7 linked regions of the Macaca mulatta genome follow. The protein of the gene in region 1 binds, or shares a complex with, the protein of each later gene. Links are inferred from orthologs where the notes say so. Each region holds a gene or a part of one and is shown on either strand. Other genes may lie near its edges. The genes, in order: HDAC1, CDK2AP1, MORF4L1, MTA2, HMG20B, CDK2AP2 and CHD4.

The links.
Region 2: HDAC1 (region 1) and CDK2AP1 share a complex: the UniProt entries of both Homo sapiens proteins name them as parts of the nucleosome remodeling and deacetylase (NuRD) repressor complex. The link is inferred for Macaca mulatta from reciprocal best matches to the Homo sapiens genes HDAC1 and CDK2AP1.
Region 3: HDAC1 (region 1) and MORF4L1 share a complex: the UniProt entries of both Homo sapiens proteins name them as parts of the SIN3B complex. The link is inferred for Macaca mulatta from reciprocal best matches to the Homo sapiens genes HDAC1 and MORF4L1.
Region 4: HDAC1 (region 1) and MTA2 share a complex: the UniProt entries of both Homo sapiens proteins name them as parts of the nucleosome remodeling and deacetylase (NuRD) repressor complex. The link is inferred for Macaca mulatta from reciprocal best matches to the Homo sapiens genes HDAC1 and MTA2.
Region 5: HDAC1 (region 1) and HMG20B share a complex: the UniProt entries of both Homo sapiens proteins name them as parts of the BHC histone deacetylase complex. The link is inferred for Macaca mulatta from reciprocal best matches to the Homo sapiens genes HDAC1 and HMG20B.
Region 6: HDAC1 (region 1) and CDK2AP2 share a complex: the UniProt entries of both Homo sapiens proteins name them as parts of the nucleosome remodeling and deacetylase (NuRD) repressor complex. The link is inferred for Macaca mulatta from reciprocal best matches to the Homo sapiens genes HDAC1 and CDK2AP2.
Region 7: HDAC1 (region 1) and CHD4 share a complex: the UniProt entries of both Homo sapiens proteins name them as parts of the nucleosome remodeling and deacetylase (NuRD) repressor complex. The link is inferred for Macaca mulatta from reciprocal best matches to the Homo sapiens genes HDAC1 and CHD4.

The regions. Positions count from the first base shown.
Region 1 is NC_133406.1:208,549,409-208,552,920, reverse strand, and holds part of HDAC1 (histone deacetylase 1), read left to right. Parts: intron 1-2,594; coding exon 2,595-2,733; intron 2,734-3,191; coding exon 3,192-3,333; intron 3,334-3,512. UniProt on the Homo sapiens protein: Histone deacetylase that catalyzes the deacetylation of lysine residues on the N-terminal part of the core histones (H2A, H2B, H3 and H4).
Region 2 is NC_133416.1:130,669,634-130,672,697, forward strand, and holds part of CDK2AP1 (cyclin-dependent kinase 2-associated protein 1), read right to left. Parts: intron 2,102-3,064; coding exon 1,975-2,101; intron 1-1,974. UniProt on the Homo sapiens protein: Inhibitor of cyclin-dependent kinase CDK2. Also acts as a component of the histone deacetylase NuRD complex which participates in the remodeling of chromatin.
Region 3 is NC_133412.1:57,080,810-57,084,909, reverse strand, and holds the start of MORF4L1 (mortality factor 4-like protein 1), read right to left. Parts: upstream 2,813-4,100; 5' UTR 2,733-2,812; coding exon 2,693-2,732; exon of another isoform or gene 2,623-2,692; intron 2,541-2,622; exon of another isoform or gene 2,348-2,540; coding exon of another isoform or gene 2,056-2,347; intron 1-2,055. UniProt on the Homo sapiens protein: Component of the NuA4 histone acetyltransferase (HAT) complex which is involved in transcriptional activation of select genes principally by acetylation of nucleosomal histones H4 and H2A.
Region 4 is NC_133419.1:11,464,215-11,468,496, reverse strand, and holds the start of MTA2 (metastasis-associated protein MTA2), read right to left. Parts: upstream 2,807-4,282; 5' UTR 2,529-2,806; coding exon 2,501-2,528; intron 2,383-2,500; exon of another isoform or gene 2,100-2,382; intron 1,765-2,099; coding exon 1,697-1,764; intron 1,329-1,696; coding exon 1,235-1,328; intron 1-1,234. Other genes in the region: EML3 (echinoderm microtubule-associated protein-like 3), read right to left, coding at 3,542-3,745, 3,826-3,956, 4,224-4,282. UniProt on the Homo sapiens protein: May function as a transcriptional coregulator. Acts as a component of the histone deacetylase NuRD complex which participates in the remodeling of chromatin.
Region 5 is NC_133424.1:4,383,183-4,387,360, reverse strand, and holds the start of HMG20B (SWI/SNF-related matrix-associated actin-dependent regulator of chromatin subfamily E member 1-related), read right to left. Parts: upstream 2,811-4,178; 5' UTR 2,721-2,810; intron 2,469-2,720; 5' UTR 2,451-2,468; coding exon 2,413-2,450; intron 2,067-2,412; coding exon 1,958-2,066; intron 1,377-1,957; coding exon 1,173-1,376; intron 219-1,172; coding exon 98-218; intron 1-97. UniProt on the Homo sapiens protein: Required for correct progression through G2 phase of the cell cycle and entry into mitosis. Required for RCOR1/CoREST mediated repression of neuronal specific gene promoters.
Region 6 is NC_133419.1:6,872,811-6,876,658, reverse strand, and holds CDK2AP2 (cyclin-dependent kinase 2-associated protein 2), read right to left. Parts: upstream 2,537-3,848; 5' UTR 2,072-2,536; coding exon 1,990-2,071; exon of another isoform or gene 1,839-1,989; intron 1,833-1,838; exon of another isoform or gene 1,788-1,832; coding exon of another isoform or gene 1,679-1,787; coding exon 1,581-1,678; intron 1,487-1,580; coding exon 1,354-1,486; intron 1,001-1,353; coding exon 933-1,000; 3' UTR 505-932; downstream 1-504. UniProt on the Homo sapiens protein: Acts as a component of the histone deacetylase NuRD complex which participates in the remodeling of chromatin.
Region 7 is NC_133416.1:7,522,676-7,526,187, forward strand, and holds part of CHD4 (chromodomain-helicase-DNA-binding protein 4), read right to left. Parts: exon of another isoform or gene 3,310-3,512; intron 2,533-3,309; coding exon 2,337-2,532; coding exon of another isoform or gene 2,334-2,336; intron 382-2,333; coding exon 218-381; intron 43-217; coding exon 25-42; 3' UTR 1-24. UniProt on the Homo sapiens protein: ATP-dependent chromatin-remodeling factor that binds and distorts nucleosomal DNA. Acts as a component of the histone deacetylase NuRD complex which participates in the remodeling of chromatin.

The sequences.
Region 1 (3,512 bases):
TTTAAAAAGTCTCTAAAATGTCCTTCTGGTTCAGTCCCAGCCCAAGTTCAATCTCTGACATGGTACTGACAGGTGTCCTTGACTGTCCTCTCCTACTAAGAGATCTTATGTACAGGAGTTCCCTGCAGACCTCCTGGGGTTGTTAAGATGCTGTATGTAAAAGCAATTTGTGAACTGCAAAGTGCTATAAAAATGGAAGTGTCATCATCTGTGAATCTGTCCTATGAAAAAGTATGGTAATTACCTTTAGAGGTCAGAAATACTCCCCACGTGTCTCCCACTTCCATTTGCAACTTTTGGGTTATCTCCAGGATGACTCTAAACCCTTTCTTAAATATTTATTTCCCTGTGATCCCCCACCAATATAATCATTGTGTCCACCCCCGCTGCCCGACCAGTATAATCGCAGAAAACAAAGAAGTGCACAGAAAAAAACACAGTCACCCATAGTCCCAGGGTTGGTGGATAACCTCTGTCACCATGTTGGTGTTTGGCCATTCTTTGGTGTGTGTGTTTATATCTGTATAACACATATACAACATCTACATTTTACAAAAGTAGGTTATATACATATCACATATATATGGTTTTATGCCTGCATTTCCTACTTAACGAAATTGTCTGTAGTTTTCTACAGCTTGCTTTCTTGTGGCTCTATGATTATTCCATGTTGTGGATTTACTTGAGTTGATCTAATCTGTCCCTCTTCTTGATAATTTGGATCTATCTATGCTTTTATTGCTGTTAAAATCAACACTGCAGCCGGACACGGTGGCTCACGCCTGTAATCTCAATCCTTTGGGAGGCCGAGGCAGGTGGATCACCTGAGGTCAGGAGTTTGAGACCAGCCTGGCCAACATGGTGAAACCCCATCTCTACTAAAAAATACAAAAATTAGCCAGGCGTGGTGGCGCACGCCTATAATCCCAGCTACTTGGGAGGCTGAGGCAGGAGAATTGCTTGAACCTGGGAGGTGGAGGTTACAGTGAGCCGAGATCGCGCCACTGCACTTTAGCCTGAGTGACAGAGTGAGACTCCATCTCAAAAAACAACAACAAAAAATTAACACTGCCGGCCGGGCGCGGTGGCTCAGGCCTGTAATCCCAGCACTTTGGGAGGCCGAGACGGGTGGATCACGAGGTCAGGAGATCGAGACCATCCTGGATAACACGGTGAAACCCCGTCTCTACTAAGAAATACAAAAAACTAGCCGGGCGAGGTGGCGGGCGCCTGTAGTCCCAGCTACTCGGGAGGCTGAGGCCGGAGAATGGCGTGAACCCGGGAGGCGGAGCTTGCAGTGAGCTGAGATCGGCCACTGCACTCCAGCCTGGGCTACAGAGCGAGACTCCGTCTCAAAAAAAAAAAAAAAAAAATTAACACTGCCACAAATGCACTTGCACACATGAGTGTGTATTTCTCTTTTACTTCTTCTGGGGCCTATTTGTGCTAGTGCTTTTTTTTTTTTTTTTTTTTTTTTCTTTTTGAGACGGAGTCTCGCTCTGTCACCCAGGCTGGAGCGCGGTGCCCGGATCTCAGCTCACTGCAAGCTCCGCCTTCCCGGTTCCCGCCATTCTCCTGCCTCAGCCTCCCGAGTAGCTGGGACTACAGGCGCCCGCCACCTCGCCCGGCTAGTTTTTTGTCTTTTTTTGGTAGAGACGGGGTTTCACCGTGTTAGCCAGGATGGTCTTGATCTCCTGACCTCGTGATCCGCCCGTCTTGGCCTCCCAAAGTGCTGGGATTACAAGCTTGAGCCACCGCGCCCGGCCGTGCTAGTGCTTTTTGACCTAGTGTATCGGCACTATCTTTGGTCATTTTTTTTTCTTTCTTTCTTTCTTTTTTTTTTTTTGAAGTAGAGTCTCCCTCTGTCACCCAGGCTGGAGTGCAGTGGCGTGATCTTGGCTCACTGCAACCTCCGCTTCCTGGGTTCAAGCGATTCTTCTGCCTCAGCCTCCCCAAGTAGCTGGGACTACAGGTGTGTACCACCACGCCCAGCTAATTTTTTTTTTGTATTTTTAGTAGAGACAGGGTTTCACCATGTTGGCCAGGCTGGTCTTGAACTCTTGACCTCAGGTGATCTGCCCACCTCGGCCTCCCAAAGTTCTGGGATTACAGGCGTGAGCCACCGCACGTAGCCTATCTTTGGTATTTTTTCAAAGTTCCTTGACCATGAGCCATAGTAAGAAATAAATTTACACATGCAATCCAGGATACATATAACACATATGCATGCATGCACACACTCACTCACTCTGAAGCCAGTTTTACAAAAGAGCAGTTACCTTTACTGTTACTCTGATATTTTTTTCTATGCTATTTCATTAAAAATATATATATACTAATAATGATGCACTAAATCAATTTTAAGGCCTGCTAATGGGTTACTACCCTCAGTTTGGAAAATAGTATTTTAAGAGTAGCCAGTGTCATGTTTATTTCCTGCTGGAGTAGGGTGGGAGGGAGGGGACTAATCTATGAATTGTACAATACAGCTGTTGAATAGGCAGGTCTTAACCTCTCACTTGGTTCCCTGGGCTTCTTGGAAGAAGGGGAGAGTGGCTTAGTAACCAGCTTATGTTCTCTCTTCCCATGCCCAGCAAGTGCTGTGAAACTTAATAAGCAGCAGACGGACATCGCTGTGAATTGGGCTGGGGGCCTGCACCATGCAAAGAAGTCTGAGGCATCTGGCTTCTGTTACGTCAATGATATCGTCTTGGCCATCCTGGAACTGCTAAAGTATGCCTGCCTGGCCTTGTCTCTTGGAAGAGCACCTTAGGCCAGGTTCCCATTTCCCTTTCCCCCTGGGCTTGCCTCCCTAGTTTGCTTTTCCTACCGATGTGCTGGCTAGGATGTGCTCGGTGAGTGTCTCTGGCCATCATCTCCTTGATGGGGTCTTGGTTTGAACTGAGCCACGGCATGATCAGGGGCAGGTGCTGCTCAGATCCTGCCTCCAGAGTGTCCCTGTGTGGCTGGAGTTGACCCTGGCTGTAGAGTAGGAAGATCGGACTTGGTCGGCTTGGTCAGGCCTCTGGAGACACCTGGCCGCTCTTCCACCTTCCTTCAGCCAGTTTCCACGTCTCTGGTGCTTAGAGATACCTGAGGGAGGCAGCCAGCCCGGTAAGCTGGGACCTGGCGCCCTTGGCGCGTCCCATCCCCAAAGAGCCCCCAGACCCCTGACCCCCTTCTGACCCTAGGTATCACCAGAGGGTGCTGTATATTGACATTGATATTCACCATGGCGACGGCGTGGAAGAGGCCTTCTATACCACAGACCGGGTCATGACTGTGTCCTTTCATAAGTATGGAGAGTACTTCCCAGGAACTGGGGACCTGCGGGTGAGAACGCCCTTTAGGAGCCAACCAGCTCACCCTCAGCTGGCAGCTCTACTTCTCTGTCCTATCTCATGCCACTAAAAACTGCTTCCTGCCTCTTCTGCCATTCAGAATACCATGTCCCAATCTGAAGCTCTTGCCCTGATCTCTTTCCCTTCTTTATTCTGGAGGAAGGGAATGAT
Region 2 (3,064 bases), on another chromosome or scaffold:
AAAAAAAAGAAAAACACACTATTCTTGGCTCTTGGCTCGTGGGCTGCAGTTGCCAACCAACCTACAACGCTCCTATGCTCCTAACTCCCTGACCCCTCTATGACATGTTTTCACCCTGCTGTGACATGAGCTTGGTCAGCTTGGGCTTGGCTGTTGGCCAAGGGGAGGCACTGGGTCTTCCTTGTTACTGCAAGACTGGCAGCTAGTACGCATTTGCTGACTTGAAGCAGTGCCTTTTATGGGCAACTGCAAATCACCTGTTGGACTTTGGGACCCAGCATCTTCCCAGGAATTTCCATTCGGGTAACCAGCACCCCTGCTACCAGAGAGCGGCCCTGGGACCACCCAACACTCTGGGCGAGACCAGGGTTGGGTTCTGCATCCCTTCCCCAGGCCCTCTTCAATCACATCCTCTAACCCTGCTGGTCCCAACCTAGCTTTGAGATCCGTCAACCTCTTCACAAAGGCTGCATGAACTCCAGAGCAACCCCGCTCCTGGCAGCAGCCTGTCCTCAACTGGCCCTCGTGTCACTGGGGTCATGACTTCAACTACAGCCCCCATATTTCCTACAGATTTACAACCAAAGAATGTTCCTCTCCCAGGCCAGGCATGGTGGCTCACGCCTGTAATTCCAGCACTTTGGGAGGCCGAGGTGGATAGATCATAAGGTCAAGAAATTGAGACCATCCTGGCCAACCAACATGGTAAAACCTGGTCTCTACTAAAAATACAAAAACTAGCTGGGCATAGTGGCGCACGTCTGTACTCCCAGCTACTTGGGAGGCTGAGGCGGGAGAATCGCTTGAACCCGGGAGGCGGAGGCTGCAGTGAGCCGAGATTGCGCCACTGCACTCCAGCCTGGGTGACACAGCAAGACTCCATCTCAAAAAAAAAAAAAATGTTCCCCTCCCAGGTCGCTTCTCCAGCCTTTTTAAGAACCCCAAGTCCCGGGCCAGGCACAGTGGCTCACGCCTGTAATGCCAGCACTTTGAGTGGCCAAGGCAGGCAGATCACCTGAGGTTGGGAGTGCAAGACCAGCCAGACAACATGGAGAAACCCCATCTCTACTGAAAATACAAAAAATTAGCTGGGCCTGGTGGCACATGCCTGTAATCCCAGCTACTTAGTAGGCTGAGGCAAGAGAATCGCTTGAACCCGGGTGGAGGTTGCGGTGAGCCAAGATTGCACCATTGCATTGCAGCCTGGGCAACAAGAGTAAAACTCCGTCTCCCAAAAAAAAAAAAAAAAAGCACCAGTCTCCCCTCATCTTGAATGAGTTCATGGGCTATGGCTCCGCTGCACTATCGCCTTCTAAAATAGAAATCCTGCTCTCCCTCCATTCCCTTTTTATTTCAGGAGATAGCAATCTATTTAACCTCCTTTCAAAATCAGCCGGGCAGTCACACCTTAACATGAGTTCCCTTGTGCTCTGTCATCTCCTGCCTGCCCTCCTTCTCCAGTCATTAAAGAACAAAGTGCTCTCAGCCTCCCGCCCCAGACCCACACACTTCCTTGGGTCTCGCTCCAAAGAGGTGACAGCAGAGGGCAGTGCAGACACCAAAGAACCCTGAGCCTGGCTTCCCTAGGACCAGTGTCGGCCAACAGAAGCAGACCAGGCAGGAGGCAGGAGGGAGAGTGGTGGCGGCCAGGGCGGGGGGGGGGGGGTGGGGGGTGGTTTGAACACACCCTTGAAAGCCAGCAGACCCCCTGGCAGCACACAGGGTAAGAAGAGCTCCCTGGCTGGGCTGCCCTTCCCGGAAGACCCCTCTGAAGGCATCCGGCCCCCTAGGCCCCTCGCCACCAGACCCACCGCCTGCCTGAGGCCTCCATAGCAGACAGCAACTCTGTGACAAGACAGGAGCTCCGATGAAGGAGCCCCATCCCCAGCCCACCCTCCCATGTTTTCCCCAAAAGTCTTTCCAGAGTTAAAGGCCTAGCCTGTGGTCACGGCAGGGCAGCGGGGCCGGGCTCACCGCGCTTCAGTCTCTCCATGGCACTCTTGCTCCCCGCGTACGTGGGTCTGATCTCCTTCCCCAGCTCTTCAATGATGGCCAGCAGCTCCGCGTATTTGCTTTGGGGCACTTGGCTGTTCCCAGTTCCCTAGAATCAGAAAGAAATTGGTTCAGCAAAATTAGCTGGGCATGTTGGTGGGCACCTGTAGTCCCAGTTACTCAGGAGGCTGAGGCAGGAGAACTGCTTGGACCGGACCCATGAGGCAGAGGTTGTAGTGAGCCAAGATCGCTCCACTGCACTCCAGCCTGGGCGACAGAGCAAGACTCCATCTCAACATCTCAAAAAAAAAAAAAAAAGGGGTTCAGCAGCCTGACCCCAAGGCCACAGGCAGGTGGGTGGAGAGGCCCCTGGGCCGGTCAGAGGAGGGAACGCAGTCCAGCCTTAGACTCCTGGGGTAGCCACCTCAGCTGGGCCAAGGCACGTCCCATTCTAGGGGACAACTACAGGTTAGGGGGATGGTCCTCACCCTTCTATCCTCACACACTCAGGAAGACCACCCAGTCGCCTCCAGGAAGCAAGTGTATCATCTCCAATGAACAAAACAGGGGAACCAGCTCATCTTGGCACAAAAGAGTCCAAACAGCATTTCCCAGGATGCAGATGAGTAGGAGGGCACATCGCAGGTGCCGAGCCTCCAAGCCAGTGGGGAGACAGAGGCCGCACCTGGGCCACCAGGACCACAGCCATCGGCCATGGCCCCGCCAGAGCCTGGAATGCATTCCCTTCTCTCATCCTCCCACCCACAGGGCCCACCCCCCAGAAACCCTTTCCTCCCACCACCACTGGGAGCCCCACAGCAAGCACCCGGATCAGCGAGGCTGGGCTCCCGGCAAGCCCGCAAGCCCAGACCACCTCCCCTTGGCTGCCTCCTCCCAGAGCTGCACCAGCTCCCTGGGCAAGGTCCTCGCCTCCTCCCTCCTCCACCGCCGCCTCTGTCCCCTGGCCTTGCGCTCTGTCCTCCTGTCCTCATCTTGGTCCAGCTGCTCTGCCTCCCCACGGCACTGCCTCCAGGCCTCACGGGCCTCCTGCCTGTCTCGGCGCCGCCGTCGC
Region 3 (4,100 bases), on another chromosome or scaffold:
ACTCGGGAGGCTGAGGCAGGAGAATGGCATAAACCCGGGAGGCGGAGCTTGCAGTGAGCTGAGATCCGGCCACTGCACTCCAGCCTGGGCGACAGAGCGAGACTCCGTCTCAAAAAAAAAAAAAAAAAGGCACAAGGAATTCTCTGCTGCTATTCCCCTCTTAACTAGCAACCCTCTAGAACTAAAGCGCTTCCTTAAACAGCCAACCTTAGGCTGTTCCTACAGAAGCGATTAACTTTTTGTGCCTTGACAGTCTGATACAGCCTACGAGCCGAATGATTTCATAAATACATAAAACACACAGTAGTACAAAGGCAACCGACTGTATCGAAACACCAAAACATTTTAAATGTCACGTTCTATGACATTACAGGACAAAGACTTGGCTAGTCATCCAGCAACTACCCTAATTTTGAAGAAACGAGAATGATTGATAACTGAAAACATCTTCCACAACTGTAATGCTGAGATCTGAAAATACTAATGCGGCGTTTTTTTTCGGGGTTTGGGGGGAGGAATTACACTGTTAACTGAAAACTAAACTTGGGTACACAGAAAAAACACATCTTCCTCATTCAATTTCACGGACCCTCTGAATGCACTAAGAATATCTGCTCTAAAACGTCTAGTAAAATAATGAATCCATAGGAGGTAGAGTCACAGATTCTCAAGGTGGGAGAAGGGTATTAAAAGTCACACGGCTGAGCGCGATAGCTCACGCCCGTAATCCTCCCACTTTGGGAGGCCAAGGCGGGTGGATCGCTTGAGCCCAAGACTTCAAGACCAGCCTGGGCATCATGAAACTCCGTCCCTACCAAAAATACAAAAAAAAAAAAAAAAAAAAAAAAAAACCCACAAAGAAAGAAAAAACCCCTAAAAACAAAACAGAACAAAACTCAGCCGGGCATGACGGCGCGCGTCAGTGATCCGAGCTACTTGGGAGGCTCGCTTTAGCCCGGGGGGCAGAGGTGAGCCGAGTACCATAACTGCCCTCCAGCCTAGGTGACAGAGTGAGACATTGTCTCAAAAATATAAACAGGCCGGGCGCGGTGGCTCAAGCCTGTAATCCCAGCACTTTGGGAGGCCGAGACGGGTGGATCACGAGGTCAGGAGATCGAGACCATCCTGGCTAACATGGTGAAACCCCGTCTCTACTAAAAATACAAAAAACTAGCCGGGCGAGGTGGCGGGCGCCTGTAGTCCCAGCTACTTGGGAGGCTGAGGCAGGAGAATGGCGTAAACCCGGGAGGCGGAGCTTGCAGTGAGCTGAGATCTGGCCACTGCACTCCAGCCAGGGCGACAGAGCGAGACTCCGTCTCAAAAAAAAAAAAAAAAAAAAAAAAAAAAATATATATATATATATATATATAAAAAAACAAAAAAGTCACTCGTTAACAAAATACCCCTAAAACTCCCTTAAATATCCCATAAGATACGCAGTACTACGGTTTAAGATTTATGTCTCTAAAAGGAATTTTAATGCAAGTCTAAAAATCCCTAGAACAAAAATAGTACGCATGGAAACACCGTATTTACGGTAACTAGCATAAATTTCCATAGCAATGAAAACGAATATTAGAGTGTTCCTCCTTTTACAGGATTTTACTTCCTTTTTAGCTATTAGACCTCCACCTTATTATACATAAATTGAAGCGTTGTGAAAATTTAAAGAGCTGCCTTCCACTGGCAGTCTAACCCTAGCCAAACCTCATGCCAATCGAAAACCAATTAATAAAAATAAACTCAACTTTCAAGTCACTGTTAAACACTGCAACTAATCAAACAATTACTGCATTTAAAAAATGACGTCGAGACAATGGGACTTACAAAGGCAAACGGCGTTAACACTGCATTCAGATCATTTTTATTTACTTTTTACGAGCAACTGCAAAGCGAGAGCGCACTAACGTTACCATAGGATCTTGGCACTGCGCCTAAGAGCAGAATGAGGCCTCCAGGCAACACAAAGCGGAGGAAAACGCTCATCCCACTGATCCTTTTTTTTTTTTTCTGTCCCCACCCACCACTCTGAGGTAAGCGAAGGGTCCCGGCAACCTTGCGGTCTTCGTGGAAGGGGGCGCTGCATCTGCCCTGAAGCTGCGCCTGCATACGGGGCAGAGACGCCAGCGGCCATGATGAAGCCGCCATGTTGCAACGGCCATTTTACAACGCAGTTCTCCCGCCCCGTGGCGCCAAACCCACCCCCATCTGCAGCTCCGAGTCTCCACCGAACGCGACCACCCCGGGGCTCCAGGGAGCACCTAACCGCCGGTCGTGGCTGCCCAAGCGGCCGGGCGCGCTGCAGGACAGCCAGAAACCACCGCCGCCCCTCCCCCCGCCGCCACATCACTTCCCCTAACCGCCGCCATGGCGCCTTGGTCGCCTCCCTACAATAGGCTGCTCTCTCCGCGCCCTCTTCCTCAGAACAATAACAAACACTTGACGAGGGTGTGCCACGCGCCAAACGCTCCCTCTCCCACTCTAACGCCTGCGTAGCACTCTCGCTTCACAAAGCGCTCACAATGACGCATCGGAATTGCCATCCGCAATGCGCTTTCCCCGCACAAAGCACTATCCGCCGCCTTCTCAGGGTGCACCCCGAGCCACCCCCGGCCCTCAAACCTCAACCACCTCGAGCCCGCCTCCATCTCCTGCGCCGTTAGGTGCCTTTTTCCCAAAGGCGCACACTCACCCTCCTGGAATTTAGGCTTCGGGTCCTGCTTCGGCGCCATTTATAAGTGATTCGCCGCCTCCTCCTTCTCCCACCACCCCCGACTACCGCCCCCTACTCTCTACCCCACCCAACTCCGCGTCAGACGCGCCGTCAGGCACTGCCAGCTCTACATCCTGGGCCGGATTTGCCAGCGCCCGCAGACCTCACAGCAGCGCGACCCGCGCAGCCGCTGCTCCAGCCAATGACAACCCGCCGCGCCCGCGCCCCTGCGCCCGCGCCGCCCCGGGGCACGCCGGGACTGGTAGTTTCTAGTTGGTGGAGGCGCAGCTGGGTGGGGGAGGGGCCGGCTACCCTACCCCACTCCTCCCCACCCCCCCGCCACTCCCCATCCCCCGGGCTGCTGCGGGTTGGTAAAGCGGGGAATTGATTACGTGGGAGGTTAAAGCAGAGCGGGCAATGGGGGAGAGTCGGGGCGGTGAACCACCAGCGATGAAAAAATGGGAAAAACCCAGTTGCGACGTCCTTTGGGCAAATAAGCCCCCATTGATGTTGAAGTAGCCGGAGAGAATAGGGCTGCCTCGAAAACCTATATTCAATAGCATTCCGCTAGTTTTTGCATAGAAAAGCTTTAGGATCAGCAATGTGGCCACAAGAGGATGGGAAGTGGGGTCCGCTTCTGGAAGCTTCGTTGTTTAGCAAGCCCACTGCCTAGTCTATTTGGTGGGATTGATAGCCATTTGTTGGCTCCCAGGTCTACCTCCTCTTCTCCAGTCCCGGCCTTGCGGAAATGAGGAAGATGACGTGGGAAACACTAGTCAGGCTTTGGCTTTTTGAGATAATGGAGCTCTGCTATCCGCAAAAGGCTAGTGTGAATATGCCAACCTCTGCATTCCGTACCTGCCCTGTTTGTACTTTTTTGTCATCTAATTTTTTGAGCCATGATTGAATGTACACACACTAAACAAACGGATTTCTTCAATATTATATATTTTTCTTTTCTTTTCTTTCTTTTTTTTTTTTTTTTTTTTTTGGAGATGGAGTCTCGCTCTGTCGCCCAGGCTGGAGTGCAGTGGCCTGATCTCGGCTCACTGCAGCCTTCACCTCCCAGGTTCAAGCGATTCTCCTGCCTCAGCCTCCGGAGTAGCTGGGATTACAGGCACGTGCCACCACGCCCAGCTAATTTTTGTATTTTTAGTAGATACCGGGTTTCACCATGTTGTCAGGCTGATCTGGAACTCCTGACGTCGTGATCCGCCCGGCTTGGCCTCGGAAAGTGCTGGGATTACAGGAGCAAGCCACCGTGCCCAGCCTGCCTCCATGGCTTTTCTAAGCCCTCCCCTGCCCGGGTTCCACACCCTACCATTTCCGGGCCCCTCTCCATTTTTCTGACTTCCATTTCTCCTTCAGTCTTTTTAACACAACCCCT
Region 4 (4,282 bases), on another chromosome or scaffold:
CAAAGTCCACAACAGGCCAGCAAGAACATTACATTTGTCTCTTGCTAAACCAGCCTGAGGTCCAGCAACCCAGTAAGATGAAAAAAAAAATCACACAAGACTGTGTTTACCAGTTCTTTTCAATTTCAGGAGACTCTTTGCACTAAAACATCACATGCAGCCCTAACTATCCCTCATTCTCTACTTGGCTAATAATAGTTCCTAGGGTTTTCAAGGACAACACCTCTCAAGCTAGTGCCAACATCTTCCTCCTGAAAGAGCTGCAGCTTGCCCTGAAACCTAGTGGAAGGGGTTAATCTGGCTAGGCGCCAACCAAAGTGGGAGGGGGCAGAAAAGCCTCAGGCCCAGGCTCATTGGTGCATTGTTCCCAACCTCAGGGAGAAGGGGGGGTTGTTCAGTAGGCTCCACCCCTCGCTTGTGTGCTCCGGAAACCCTGTGCTAAGGCAAGGGGGACCACACCCCCAACACCCCTTCTGATTGGACAAGGCCAAGGTCAGCCCCTGCCAGATGGGGCTGGAAACCCTAAAGGGCCAGGGAACTTGGTTAGCCAGGCTCCTCTTTAACCCCTTCTCACCCAGAGCAGTCTGAAAAAGGAAAATGATTTAGAAAGGTGGAACAAAAGGAAGGAAAAAGAAAACCAAAGCAGGAAAGGAAAAAGCAGCTAAGGAAAATATTTTTTTTTAAAAAAAGAAAATGAGACCTTAAAGAGGATGAAAATAGAGCAAAATGAAAAGGGAAAGATGTAAAATGGGGGGTGGCAGGTGGGGAAATGGGCAAGGTGAGAAATTAAAAAGTGCAAGAAAACTTCCAGCCATCTTCTAACTTCCAGGTATTCTCACCACCTTGTGATTACAAAATAAGGCTGCTTCTGTTATGCGGGCTTCTCAGTACAATCTCTTCCTCTTCACCTTGACCTTCAGTCACCACCTACTGTCCCAGTGTACCCCAAACTGCCCCCCTTTAGAAAAGCATTCTGTTTCTCTAAACCCCGTCTTCATCCCCTAAATCAACCTTATCGTCTCTCTCCTACTCTCATACACAAACCATATCACAATCTCTCCACCCTGCTTCCAACCCCAACGTGTAAAAACAGGTCTCCCTCCTCAGGCCAGGCATTTCCCACCCTCAAACTCACACCTCTGCCTTGGGCATGCTACCAGGGGAAATACCTGCAGGGACATGCGCAGGCCTCAGATCATGGGGAGGGGGAAAAGAAAGGGATGAAGATACTCACTGGCATTACTATCAGCCAAGCTGTTGAGGCTACTAGAAATGTCCCTGCGCCGGAAAAGACAGACGACCTTTGCCTCCACATTTCCATTTGCAGTCTAAGGGGAGGAAAAAAACAAAAACAGAAACAAAACAACGTAGCAGTGAAAATTGATCATCTGGGAACAGAAATACACAAAGAGACAAATAACAGTAAGTTTCAGAGGGACCTAAATTAAAAAGCCCAAGAAAATATGAGTAAACACTTACATTCAAGGACAGACTTCCAAATCCCTTTCCTTTGCCCCCAAGAGACAGAATAGTAAAGTTCCTGCTAAGCTCTCAATAGCCTTTCCTGAATACATCCAATGAATGAATGAATGAATATGAATGGGTACTTAGTATAGGGTCCTCTCTTCCACCCGAAGTTAGAAACCTCAGAAGAGACCACTGGGGGAGGGAGGGAGAGAGATTCTGCTCCACTCACCTTGTTGAGTTCCTCAATCCGTCTAACCAGGTAAGGATTGCTGGAGGAGTTCTCAAAATAGACGTAATCTGTAAGGGAAGGGAGGGGGGAGAACCACGAAGATCAGAGGAGATGGGAGAGACGCAGAGCACCAGAGTAGGAGAGAAAGTTGGCCTGAGTGGATCAAAAGAAGATAAGGATTCAGGCAGAGAGCGCGCTGAGATGTGAAAGTGTAAAGACTAAGAGAAAATAAGGATGTCCCCCACCCCCACCGCACCTAGTTCTAAAATCAGATCCATTACTCAAAAGTGAGCCTTAAGGAACAGGCAAGAAGCAGGGATTCCCCTGCAGTCCCCACAACTCAGCAACGAGTTGCACCTCAGTCGCGGCGAAGTAATTGTTCGCTCTAGCGCAGGGCCCCCACCTTTTCGAACTGAGGCGCACAATAACGCCTGGGAAGAGGAAACCTCCGGGCGGCTCCTCCGCGGTGGCAAAGCCGTCGCCCCAGCCCCTCGCGTTCCCTCCCCACCCTGTCAGCTCCTTCGGAACCGGTTTCCGAAGCCCACTCCGTGCCCCGAGGAGCCCCCGACGCAGCCCTGAAAGTGCCGTCGGGGCTGCCCGCAGCTTCTCTCCAGGAGTCTCGGCGCCCTGCCGCGTCGCGGTTTCCCGCACCCTAGCTCCTCGTCTCCCGGTTCCGGTTCCGGTCCGCGCTCCGGTCCATGCCGCCCCATACGCTGCGCCTCGCGCCACCCGGTGCCGAGCCCCTCCGGTCCCGACCACAACCTCTCCCGCCCCGGACCCTGTACCCCTGCGCCCGGTACTCACCTCCCACCCGGTACATGTTGGCCGCCATGGCCGTTCCCGCCGCCGCCTCCGGCCGCACAAAGGGGTCCGGGAGGCTCGCGGGGGCAGGGCTCGGCTAGAGGCAAAGCCCTGAACGGTGGGCTGGCGCTTCGAGGGAGTCTCACTGGGGCCCGCGCAGCCGTCACCTCCGCTGCCTCAGCCGTCGCGGTTCATCCCGGCCCGCGCTGTCGCCGCCGCAGCTATCGCCTCACTCCCGGGACGCTGAGGCTGGCCCCGGTCCGCTCGGCTTCTTCCGGAACGAGCTCGGCTCCTGCCAGGCTGCAGCTGCCCCCACCCCCGCCGAGTCCCACTAGTCGTTGAGCTCTGCCGGCCGCAGGGAAGGCTTGCCCGGCCCGCCTCAGGGTTCGCCTCCTTCCGTAACACCTTCGGCCGATCCGGAGAACAAGGCCCACTGCTCGGCTCAGGTCGGAGAGCGAGACCCCGCAGATCGGCTACTTCCGGAAGAAGTTCGGCTCCTGTCGGCCAATCGCTCGGCTATTTCCGTTGCAGCTCGGCACCCCCCCCACCCCTTTTTCCGAGGGCGGGAGAGGAGTGGGGCTTAACTCTGTCCTAGCTGGAGCCCTGCAACTCCTCCTCCCGCCCCGAAGACTCGCGCGCCTTAGCGCTTCGCCAGGTTATTTGCAAGCGGCTTTGCCTGTTATTTGCATAAATGGTCTACGCTCCCTTGCCCTTTCCGCACGCCTCTTTTCCTTCGTCCCCACCCCACAGGGCCCCGGAGGCACCCAGCAGCGCCCCACAAAAGCACCGGGAGGCGACTTTGGTTCTGGTTTATTGCCCCTCAGCAGGCAGCGGGAGTCAAGGCCTAGGTTGGGGCTGCCCGGCTCAACCAGCGGGTCTAAACAGTGTGTGCAGGGGCGCCGCTCGCGCCCTCCAGGGAAATGCACCGTCGGGAATGTTTCGAAGTCAGTCGAGGAAAGAGTCGGCCCCTGGTCGTGGGGGATTAGGGCGGGGCAGAGCGGGGCGGGGCCACGCCGCCAGGCCAGTAGGTCCCGCCGGCAGCGATCAAACGTCGAGGGAGGAGGCGGGGGACAGGGAGGGGGTTCGAGAGGGCGTGGCAGGCGCCGGCCCCGCGCCCCCAGCGCCCAGCACTCGCCACTGGAAGATGCTGGCGTCCTTGCCGCCCAGCGAGACAAGGTGCGAGTCGTCGTGCGTGAACCGGACGCTGGTCACGTGGCTGCCGTGGCCCCCGTACATGCGGCTCGGCGCCTGGGCGGGAGGGAAGACTTGCAGTGGCGGCGGAGCCCTCGGGCCCACCCGTCCCACCCCGGCGGCCCCCGCGGCCTCACCTTGGCACGAGCGCACGGGTACTGGAATAGATGCACTTTGCAGAAGTCGTCGGCCACCGCCACCACGCGCTCGTTGTGGGAGCGGCACAGGGAGTTGATGTCGGTCCCATCGGAGCCGTCCGGCCACACGCCTAGCACAGTGGCCGGCCTCAGCCCGACCTCCTACCCACCGCCACCCACGGCCCAGAGCTACACCGTTTCAGGCGCTCCGGCAGCCGCAGCCACCCACTGTCGCGTTCCAGGAAAGCCTTCCCGGTCCCGAGGGCCGGAGGGGCCTCCTGGGCTGGATCTTCAGGTTTCTGGACTCTCACCCAATGACACACGCCCAGCGTTCCGAGCCCAAACTGGGCTCCACCTTGTCCCCCACCCCTCCAGCAGGGTTCCACGCCCCTGCTCACCGTAGACGTGGAAACCCAGCACACAGGTGTAGGTAGCCCATTCCCGGTCTCGGCTCTCA
Region 5 (4,178 bases), on another chromosome or scaffold:
GCTGGTCTTGAACTCCTGACCTCAGATGATCCACCCACCTCGGCCTCCCAAAGTGCTGGGATTACAGGCGTGAGCCACCGCGCCTGACCCCTCCCACCTTTCTTGATCTTCTTCTCCTGGATCTTCTCCGTGCACATCTTATAGGCTTCCGACTGCTGGTAGGCCCGCAGCTCCTTCATGTACTGCTGCTTCTCTCTCTCGGCCTCATCCAGGTACCGCTGGGGGACAGCACCAAAAGACCTGAGGCAGGGGAAGCCTCTAACGCCAGGACCCAGTCTTCATCACTCAGCTTTCACAGCACCCTCCCCTCTCCTGAACCTTCCATAGTTCCCTATTCCCTCCAGACAGACAGAACCGGCTCCTCAGCCTGTTGCTCAAGGACCTCTGAGCTCCCACATCACTTCCCATGCCCCAGGCTCATCCCCAACTCCCGCCCTGACAAGACACTCCTGGGCGCCAGAGTCATGGGCAGGCACCCAACCTCCAGGGTATGTGGATATCTAGACTCCCTCCTGCACCCGTTTTTCTCTTTGAAATTTCACTTACAGGGGTGCAAAGCGGCGGTGGCTTTTGTTACATTTCCGTGATGTTTTTGCAATTTTTAAACTAACAGTATATGAAAATCAGATTTCACAAAAAATCCAGGCCTTATCCTGACTTCTTAGACATATCTTTGTTGGTCACCCAGTTTTCGATCTGTCTTGCCTCTTGCTAGCCGCGCCCCCAAAAGCTGGTCATGGGCTGGCCATGGTGGCTAATGCCTGTAATATCAGTACTTTGGGAGACTGAGGTGGGCAGATCATTTGAGGTCAAGAGTTCAAGACCAGCCTGGCCAACATGGCGAAACTCCATTTCTACTAAAAATACAAAAGTTAGCAGGGCGTGGTGGCTGGCGCCTGTAATCCCAGCTACTTGGGAGGCTGAGACAGGAGAACTGCTTGAACCCGGGAGGTGGAGGTTGCAGTGAGCCGAGATCGCGACACTGCACTCCAGCCTGGGCAACAGAGCAAGACTCCATCTCACACACACACACACACACACACACACACAAAAACTGGTCATGGGTGGGCATTTCACCAGGCATAAGGAAAAGCCCTGCACGTGGAATCCTTTGGGGGTCGGGGCTACTGGTAGTACGGGGGTCCGCCGGCCCTGCTCAGCGCCCCGCTCACCTGCTTCTCCGTTGGCTGCAGCTTGCTCCACTCGGCGCCCAACATCTTGGTGATCTCGGGAAAGGGCAGATCCGGGTGGCGCGTGCGGATCTGCTCGCGCCGCTCGTTCAGGAAGCGCACGTAGCCTGTGACCGGTGCCTTGGGCCCATTCGGCAGAATCTTCTTCCGCTTCTTGCCCTTGGGCCAGCCGCGTTTCTTCACCGGCTGCAGAACCGGGCTGCGTCGTTGGGAGGGGGGCCTGGCGTACTGGGGCGGGGCTCAGAGGGGCATGGGCGGGGCCTAATGCTGTATGGGCGGGGACGGGGCGGGGCCTAGTTGGGAGGAAGAACCCGGAAGAGATGGAGGTAGGGCCCAGTCAGGAGTCAGGACACGGTGGTTTAGAGGGGTCCCTGGCCAGGGATGAGGGGATCCCAGAGACTATGGGCCGAGGTTTGAGCACAGGGGTGGTGTTTACTTAGATTGTAGGCGTGGCCTCTGCTTGGTGGGCGTGGCTTCTTGGAGAAAGGGCCCACAGGACCATGGGGAGGGTGCCGCCCCCAAGGAGTGGAAGTGGGCGGGACCTTAGAGTGGGCAGAGCTGGCATTGTGTGGTGGGCGGGGCCTGGACTTAGGGAGGCAGAGGACCTGTCAGGGGCGTGGCAGCTCGCACGGGGCGGGGTCTCAGCTTCCGGAGGAAAATCTGGGCTGTGGGCGGAGCCACAAGCAATTCAAATCCAGCCTGGGGCGGGACTTCAAGGCTGGGGCCGCAGCCCGGGGCCTCCCCCAGCTCAGCGCAGGGACTCTCACCTCCTCCTCGTGGGACCCCTTCTCGCCGGCGCGTGGACCCTCGCCGCGCTCTTGCTTGACAGCCACCACGAAGCCCCCATGCTGGCCCGGAGCCTTGCCGCCCGCCGGCCTGGAGCCAAGGATACAGAGGTCAGCCCCGTCCCTAGAGCCTCCCCTCCCCCAAACGCCTACCCCAAGGCTTTTAGACGCCCGACGATGGGGCTGCTGCGAGAGTGCATGAGCCCGAGGAAGCAGGGTCTGATGGGGTCAGTATCCGCGGAAGGTGGGACAAGCGGGGCTCCTGGGAGGGGCTGGAGGCCGAGGTGGGGTATGCAGGATTGGATGGAGGGAGAAGCCCCCTGACCCAGGTTGGGGGCGGTCGAGACCCCGGCCGGGGTGACTGGAGCGGGGGTTCAGGAGCTAGGGCTGCAGCCGGGAAGGTAGCGAGGGCGTGGGGAGGGAATCGGAGCACTCACGCGGCGGCCGTGCCGGGCTGCTTGGGGCCGTGGGACATGGCTGCTCCGGGCCGGACCTGGAACACGGACGCGGGCGGAGTTGAGTAGCGCCTGGGCTGATTGATGGCGGACCGCGAACTGGGGTATCCCGTGATGGAGAGCCCCGGGATGCCGGGCCCGGAGCGCTGGGGGGGCCGGATCCGGGGGCGGGGAAGTCCTCGAGGGCGGGCGCCCCAAGAATCCTTTGTTGGGCGATTGCCCCCCGGGAGGCCTGGGCCGGTTCCCCCCGGCCCAGGAAAGACCCCGACCCGGCCCTGGGACCCCCGCACCCCCGCCCCCTCGCAAGGCCCGGAGTTCCGCGGCTGTTTTCACCTCCAAAGAAACTTTCCCGGACCTCCCGACTGCGCGACGCTCCAACCAACCGCCCGCAGCCCACCCCCGCCGACTGCCCCGCCCCTCCCCGCCCCCGGCATGCTAATGAGGCCTCGGCGAACGGTCCCATTGGGTGAGGCCTTCCCCCGGGGCGTGCCCATGCAGATACCGATCGGCGCGCCGGCCGGCGATTGGCTGGGGAGGCTGCTGAGCCGCGTGGGAGGTTAGTAAGGAAGGCGGCGGGCGGTGCGTCAAGTTCGGCTGCGCTCGGCCGCGCTCGGGACCAATCGGGAGCGCGTGGCGGACTTGCCGGGCGGAGCCTCTTAAAGGGCCAGTAGGTGAGGCGCCGACTCCTCCTCCCGCTCTGAGGGCGATACTCCCAGCAGCTGCCGGATGGCGCGACCCGCGGATCCGGGTCGGGCCACGCCCCGGTTGCCATGGGGACGGAGGTGCTAGGGTTAAGTTCCTGTGAGGCAGCCCCCAGCCCTAGGACAAGGTGGGACCTGTTCTTAACATCCTGCAAAACCCATCGGAGACGTTTCCTATTTATTTATTCAGAACCCCCGACATCCGGATCCGAGGGCTTCTGGCCACAGGGGCGGCTTTCCCAGTGGGATCTGGGCTTTCCCTCCTGTGCAATGGGGACATCGCACGATGTCCAGGGCATAGAGGCTGGGATGCTGCGAAGCTGAGAACGGGGTGTGGGTCAGTCAGGGGGTGGGGTTGGGAGCTGGGCTGGAAGTATTTGGGGAAAGATGGTGGTAAAGGGAGGTTGCAAGGACCTGGTGAAGTTGGGTCAGGATGCTCCGCTCTGGGGGATCAGACCCAAGTTGGGGGCTGCTCACTTCCTCTTTTTTTTTTTTTTTTTTTGAGACGGAGTCTTGCTCCGTCGCCCAGGCTGGAGTGCAGTGGCTCGATCTCGGCACACTGCAACCTCTGCCTCCCGGGTTCAAGCAATTCTCTGCCTCAACCTCCCGAGTAGCTGGGATTACACACGCCTGCCACTACGCCTGGCTAATTTTTGTATTTTTAGTAGAGACAGGGTTTCACCATCTTGGCCAGGCTGGTCTTAAACTCCTGACCTCGTGATCCACCTGCCTCGGCCTCCCAAAGTGCTGGGATTACAGGTGTGAGCCACCGCGCCCAGCCCCCTTCCTCTTCCTCAAGTCCGCTCAAATGTCACCTGCTCAGCCAGGACCTCGCCTCTGATTTTTTTTTTTTTTTTCTCCGTAAGTCGGTTTCCTCTCTGTGGCCTGCCTGTTTGGTTCACAGCAGTGACCGTGGTGGGTGTTCAATACACATTCATTGAATTGTTCAAATGTCTAGGAGGCAGATGCAGTCAGCTGCTTTGGAAAACAGACTGGCATTTCCTCAAAGGGTTAAATAAATGTGGAATCACCATGCAATTCAGCAGT
Region 6 (3,848 bases), on another chromosome or scaffold:
GGGGTAGTGACAGCAGCACCCGGCCAGCCCCTCCCCTTGACTGTGAGGCCAAGGGCTGGAAGCAGCAGTGCCCGTTCTCTCTGAGGAGTCAGAGACCTTCAGGGCTGATTCAGAGGCTGGGGTGTTGTCAGGGCATTAGGGCGTTTGAGGGAGTGGCTTACGTGAACTGGCATTTCCATGCTGCCAGGCATCACCGCCAATCCAGAGGAAGCGCCCTCCAGGCCCAGGCTGCCCATAGCGCCAAGGGCTGTGGAAGCAGCCAGGCCCTGTGCTGCCCCCTGGTGGCACCACAGGAAGGCCCAGGGCTCTCAGCGCCACGGCTGGGGCGGAGAGGGCCCGGTTCCCACCTGAGGCTGATGGCCCACAGAGGCAAGTCAAACCCTGTTTAGTCACACCCTCCCCACTCCTAGTCTCCTCTTCCCCTTTCTCTGCCTGGCCCACCCAGGTTTAGCTGAAGAACCAGACCCAGAAAGGCTCAGAGCTGAGAGCACAACTCCAAATCATCTTTTATTAATATAAAAAGGGCATATTTAGCAAAAGACACACAGATAAAAGAGTCACTATGGCTCAGGACACAAGGCAGTGAGGTGCCAGGCCTGAGCCCCTGCTGGGGGAGAAGGAGGCTCGGGACAAAGTGGGAGAAGGGCTGGGAAGGGCTGAGCGGTGGGGACCACAGAAAGTTCCGGTGGGCAACACTGTTGGCAGGTCATGGGTGGGACTCATGGGGACCTCGCTGCTAACTCTTGTTGTGGGGGGATGTCCTTAGTGCTGCCACCTGGAGAGCCGCTCCTTGGTTCCTGGAGGGGACCCACCAAGGGACACAGGACAGGAAGCCCAGGATGGTTAGTGCAACTCGGGATGAAGGCCAGGGAGAAGCGGGTGCTCTGCAGTGGCCGGGAAAGGTCCAGACGCTGAGGCCGGGGCGCTTCCTGTTACGTGCGGGCGTTCCGCTCTGTCTCTGCCAGGCACTCTCTGACTAGGGCCCGAGCATGGATGATACCTGGTGGTGGGGTGGGGTCTCAGCAACCCTCCACAGCCCCACCCACTGCCCTCCAGAGGAGGACCCCTGCCTCCCCACTCCCTTTCCCCTTTCAGCAAGAGAAATTCCAAACTAATGACGGCTAGATGAGATTAGAGGTTTGGTTAATCCTCAAGGTTGCCCTGTAGAAGTACAAATTCCCAGGCTCTTCCCTGGAAATGGACGCAATTTCAATTCGATTCAAAACACCTCTCTGGGTAGTAATACTGGCCCTCCTCTAGGCTTGGCTCAGGTGGCCTCCGGATGTCTTTCTTTCCCTAATGGAAGATAGTCCAGTGTCGGTTTCCTAAGCAGGGCGGCCTGGCCTCACTTACCTCTCTTCAGGCGCTCCATGGCGCTCTTGCTGCCAGCATATGTGGGCCGGATCTCTTTGCCCATCTCCTCTATGACTGACAGCAGGTCCGTGTAGGTGCTCTGGGAGCCCTGGGCGCCGGGTGGCTTCATCGCCTATGTCAAAAGAGAACAGGGCAGTGAGCTCAGGCACCTGGCGGGGAGGGGGACTCCAGTCCCCATCCATAAGCAAGCCTTTGGCCCCACTCACCTGCACGTAGCCCATGGAAGGCGGTCCAAAGTCGTTAAACAGCGGTCTAAAAGGAGCGGCGGCTCCTGGCACTGAGCCCGACGGCGACGGGACGCTTCCTGCAGCAACAGGCGCGAGTAAGAGGTCAGCGCGGGGCAGGGACGCCGCCTCCCAGCTTTTCCAAGCCCAGGACCGGGTTCGCCCGATTCCCTCCAAAGGATGCTTCATTCCAGGCTGATCAACTTCAGGGACAAATCCCTCCCACTGCGCTCCACCTACAAGCCCTTACGTGACCACGCCCACTTCACAGGCCAGCAAACTGAGGCTCAGCGAGGGTAGGCGGCAAGCCCAGTATTGCAGAACTCAGGCCGTCTTCTCTTCGAGACCTCGACCGCCCGGCAGGCGAGCAGGGGTGGAGCTGGATCCTCACCTGTAGGGACCGGGGTGCCCGGCCCAGGGGTGCTGGAGCCAGGGGTGCTGCTGGGGGCAGGGGCGATGGGTTTGTAGGACATCCCCAACTCCTGGGCGCGGCGGACGCCAGCCGGCCGCTCCTCGGGGGTTGGCTGCCGGGCCGCTCAGCCGCGCTCTGATTGGCAAGCGGGCTGCACGCCCCTGGTAAATAGAGGTCTGGCCGGAAGGGCGAGCGGGCACGAATGCTCCCTCACTCCCGATTGGTGGGCGAAGATGTCACTCGAGCCTCCTTATTGGCCGAGACCTGCCCCAGCAGGTCGCAACCGCCGCCGATTGGCCTCCGCCTTCCGGACCTCGCACCTGTCTGCTCCGGATTGGGCGGTGGCCACCGCCCTCCGCAATTGGCGAGTTCGCGGCCCGGGCCGGCGCGCTTTCAATCCGATTAGTCCCCAGGCCCTAGAGGCGGGGCCTCGGGAACCCGGACCCGGGGCTGGGCCGCCGGTTCGCGCCGAGGGTGTCTTCCCGGGCGCGGGCGCCACCCTCGCGCCTCACTAGCGCTGCTTCAGACGTCTGCTCCGCTCTGCCCAGTTTCGGCCCAGCAGGGGTTGCTGTCGCCGCTGCCGTGGCCGCTGTCACCGCTGCCGTGCGCGCTTCTCTGCTCCGGGGGCCGAAGGACGCAGGGCTTTGACGTCCCGAGCCCCGCGCCCCACCCCGTGCGCTTTTACGTCACCTTTCACCGGTTCAACACCCTCTCCCCGATCTGCGCATGCGCCCGCCCGAGGCCTGCGTTTGTTCCCATGGCAACGGGCCCTTCATCTATGCCGCCGCGCACCGTTCTTCCTGAGGCTTGGCTTGTCCTCAGGTCCAAGGGCGACCTCAAGGACCCCTTTGCCCTCACCCCCAAGGCCCCGCGCCGCTGCCTCAGTTAGTGATAATGGCCGTAGGGCAAACAGGGATTACTTGTGTGCCGGGCCCCGGACCAAATTGGTCAAGAGCACAGACTGGAGCCAACCGCCTGGGTTCGAATCTCAGTACCACCCCCACTAGCGATTTCCCCCAGGCAAGTTTCTCACCTCAGTATGCCTCAGTTTCCCCATCCGTAAAATGGGGAAAATGACAATCTCATTGGGTTGTGTGGATTAAATGAATAGTCATAAAGAGCTTCCTGTCCCACTCCAGGGCCCCCATACCTTTCCACTCCACCACTCAGACCCCTCCCCTCAAATCTCATTCGCCATAAACTTAGACCTCAGACCCTCCTCCACTCACTAACCCTTTCTCCCAGGCTCCTTCCCCAAACTCAGACTTCTCTGGCCTTGTGTACCTTCATGCTCCCAGCTTTGTAGATCTTAATCTCCAGGACAGTCATTCATTCATTCATTCATTCATTCATTCATTCATCCATCCATCCAACAAACATGTTCTGGCCCGGCGCGGTGGCTCACGCCTGTAATCCCAGCACTTTGAGAGGCCGAGGCAGGCTGATCACGAGGTCAAGAGTTCGACCTCGTGATCGAACATGGTGAAACCCCTGTCTCTACTAAAAATACAAAAATTATCTGGGCGTGGTGGTGGGCACCTGTAATCCCAGCTATTCGGGAGGCTGAGGCAGGAGAATCGTTCAAACAGAAGTTGCAATGAGCCGAGATCGTGCCATTGCACTCCAGCCTGGGTGACAGGGCAAGTCTCCGTCTCAAACAAAAACAAAAACAAAACCCAAGAAACCACACAAAAACCATGTTCTGACTCCCTCCTCCATCTCATGCTTTGTACTGAACCCTGAGGTTAAAGAAATGAACAGGCCATGGCCTCTGTACTCAAGGAGGCCTTATTCTCTGAGACAGTGAAGCAACATCTTCCTTACATTGCAGTAAGTCA
Region 7 (3,512 bases), on another chromosome or scaffold:
TGGAGGTGTTATCAGTCTGCATCTTCACTGCTGCTGGGCTACCTAGAGAAGGAGACCCAAGGAGTCAGAATTCCAGATGATAGGAATCCACCCAATCTCAAGGGAATTCACTGACAGCCTACCCACCCAGTATGTAAAGCTAGGAACATACAACAAAGTTACAAGCTCCAGAATGGTTCTGCAGGAAGAGGTGGTGTCAAGAAGAAAATGGTCCTACCTGCTGTGGGGTAGGTTCGGGTGCCCGGTTTGCCAGGCGGCTGAGAATGTTACGCTCTGACATCTGTAACCTCACAGCAACTGGGGGAATTCGGGCAATGGTAGCTGGGAGTCGAGTCACATCGGCTTTCATGTCACTCAGCAGTTCTTCCAGCTGTTTCAGAACTGCAAAGGGAGAAAAAGAGGTGGTGAGCTGTGGTGGCCAAGACTGAGGTCCCTCTACCCTAGTGGACCAGCATCTCTTCTCAGTGACCAAGTGACTGTGATGTGTTATCTTCTGTCACCTGACCTGACCTCCACCATGTTCAAATTCCTGCTCCTCATATTCCAGTTCCAACTGTTCATGATTTTGTGCTCTTAAAAGTCACCTAAACCTTCACTATCCCTTACTATTATTGTATTTCCTCTTCTTGAGAAGCTTATTCCTGTTTTTTCTCTTCTCTACCTTCAGAATCTGTCTCCCACCTCCATTATAACAGCATTCTTTTCCTTATTTCACCCTCCGCCTCCTCATAACCTTTTACTTTAATTAGAAACAAAACGCTGAAAGGGGTCTAGAATTTGAAGGGATCTTTTATCACCTGAAGTTACCTCTAAAGTATCCCAAATGACACTATATTATTCTGCTTTGCTTTCCATCTCAAGAACCTGAATATATTTAAAGTTAAAAGAGGTGGGGCCGGGCGTGGTGGCTCATGCCTGTAATCCCAGCACTTTGGGAGGCAGAGGCAGGTGGATCATCTGAGGTCAGGAGTTTGAGACCGGCCTGGCCAACATGGTGAAACCCCATCTCTACTAAAAATACAAAAAATTAGCCGGGCATGGTGGCGGGCGCCTGTAATCCCAGCAACTTAGGAAGCTGAGGCAGAAGAATCGCTTGAACCCGGGAGGCGGAGGTTGTGGTGAACTGAGATCACGCCATTGCACTCCAGCCTGGGCAACAAGAGCAAAACTCCATCTCAAAAAACAAACAAAAAAACAAACAAAATTAGCAGGGCATGGTGGTGCATGCCTGTAATCCCAGCTACTCAGGAGGCTAAGGCAGGAGAATCGCTTGAACCTGGGAGGCAAAGGTTGCAGTGAGCCGAGATCACGCCACTGCACTCCAGCCTGGGCAACAAGAGCAAAACTCCGCCTCAAAAAAAAAAAAAAAAAAAAAAAAAAAAAAAAAAGGTGGCCAGGGCGGGGCATGGTGGCTCACGCCTATAATGCCAGCACTTTGGGAGGCAGAGGCAGGTAGACCACTTGAAGTTAGTTTGAGACCAGCTTTGCCAACATGGTAAAACCCCATCTCTACTAAAAATACAAAAACTAGCCGCAAGTGGTGGCGCATGCCTATAGTTCCAGCTGCTCGGGAGGCTGAGGCAGGATAATTGCTTGAACCCAGGAGGCAGAGGCTGCAGTGGGCCAAGATCACGCCATTGCACTCCAGCCTGGGCAAGAGCTAGACTCCATCTCAAAAAGAAAAAAAAAAAGGTGGCCGGGTACAGTGGCACATATTTGTAGTTCCAGCTACTCAGGAGGCTGAGGCAAGAGGATCACTTGAGTCCAGGAGTTCAAGACCCACCCGGGCAAAATGTTGAGAGCCCATCTCTTTTTTTTTTTCCGGAGTCTCACTGTGTTGCCCAGGCTGATAGCCAGTGCAATGGCACGATCTTGGTTTACTGCAAACTCTACCTCCTGGTTTCAAGCGATTCTCTTGCCTCAGCCTCCTGAGCAGCTAGGATTACAGGCATGTGCCACATGCCCAGCTAATTTTGCTATTTTTAGTAGAGACGGGGTTTCACCATGTTGGCCAGGCTGGTCTCGAACTCCTAACCTCGTGATCCACCCACCTTGGCCTCCCAAAGTGCCGAGATTACAGACGTCAGCCACCGCGCCCAGCCAAGAGCCCACCTCTTAAAAAGAAAAAAGAAAAAAAAAAAAAAAAAGAGGCAAAGAACTACTGTCCTTGATTGCCTCTAACATATTAACTCCCCAAGGATGGCAAAGGTCCCTACCAACTCCTAAACTCTCAAAGGAGCTCTGAAAAAGGTTTGAAAACAAATATATGTACATTGGGATGCAGTTAGATGAGGGAGGAGGCCTAATCAGCAGGAGGCAGGGGAGCCACTGGCTACCTTTGTGCAGGACTGCATTGGCTGGCTTGTTTCCTGCCATTGACTCCTTGGACAGGTGCTGATGACTTTCCGCCAAACACTCCACCTCAGCAAAGCGGGTGTTGAGGGCCATGGAAGGGTGAGAAGGGTCTTCTGACATGTTCAAGTAAGCAGCCCGGCGCAGCTGTTCCTCAATCACCAGAGCTTGTTCTAAGAGCTGGACAAGGGATAAAAGGAAACGGGAGTTCGACTGATAACTCACTTTGCTTACTTCTGACTGGCCTCTCAGCTCACCTCTCATTGTTTCTGATAGTAATAAGAACCTATAAATAACTTCATGGACAGCTCATTCCCACACCCAAGCAGTTTAACTTTGCCTTGTATCTTTTTTCTTTCCCTTTTTCAATGTCCTCGTTTTTAAAACTCTTTACCCTTTAGATTCTCTTATACAAAAGCAATAAAAACTCAATTTAGAAAATAGAATATCAAAAATTAACAACAGATGATCCCACCTTCTAGAAATATATCCTGATTTTTTTTTAGGTTTTTTTGTGCATAGTTTTTTACATAACTGAGATCATACTATATACATATCCATATTATGTTTTCATTTAGTTACAGTTAAACATTTTCCTTTTTATCATCTACTCTTTATCAACTACTCTTCAAAAACACGTTTTGGCTGGGCACAGTGGCTCACACCTGTAATCCCAGCACTTTGGGAGGCTGAGATGGGCAGATCACTTGAGGTCAGGAGTTCAAGACCAGCCTGGCCAACATGACAAAACCCCATCTCTACTAAACACACAAAAATTAGCAAGGTATGGTAGTGCACACCTGTAACTGCTGCTGCTCAAGAGGTTGAGGCAGAAGAATGCTTGAACCCGGGAGGCAAAGGTTGCAGTGAGCTGGGATCATGCCACTGCACTCCAGCCTGAATGACAGAGGGAAACTCTGTCTCAAAAAAACAGGGTTATTTTGCTATTTTAAAATATTTTTGTTTTTTATTTCCTCTTATCGCCATCTCACTTCCATTCCTCTGAAAAGCAACCTTTCTAATATAGTAATACTGTGGCTTTTTGTGTAGGTTTTTAAAGACTGTGTTGTTTCATATGTATGTTTCTAAGTTACAGAATGATGTTTTCTGTACCTATGCTTTTTTTCTCCCACTACATACTTTTTAAAAGGTACACTTAT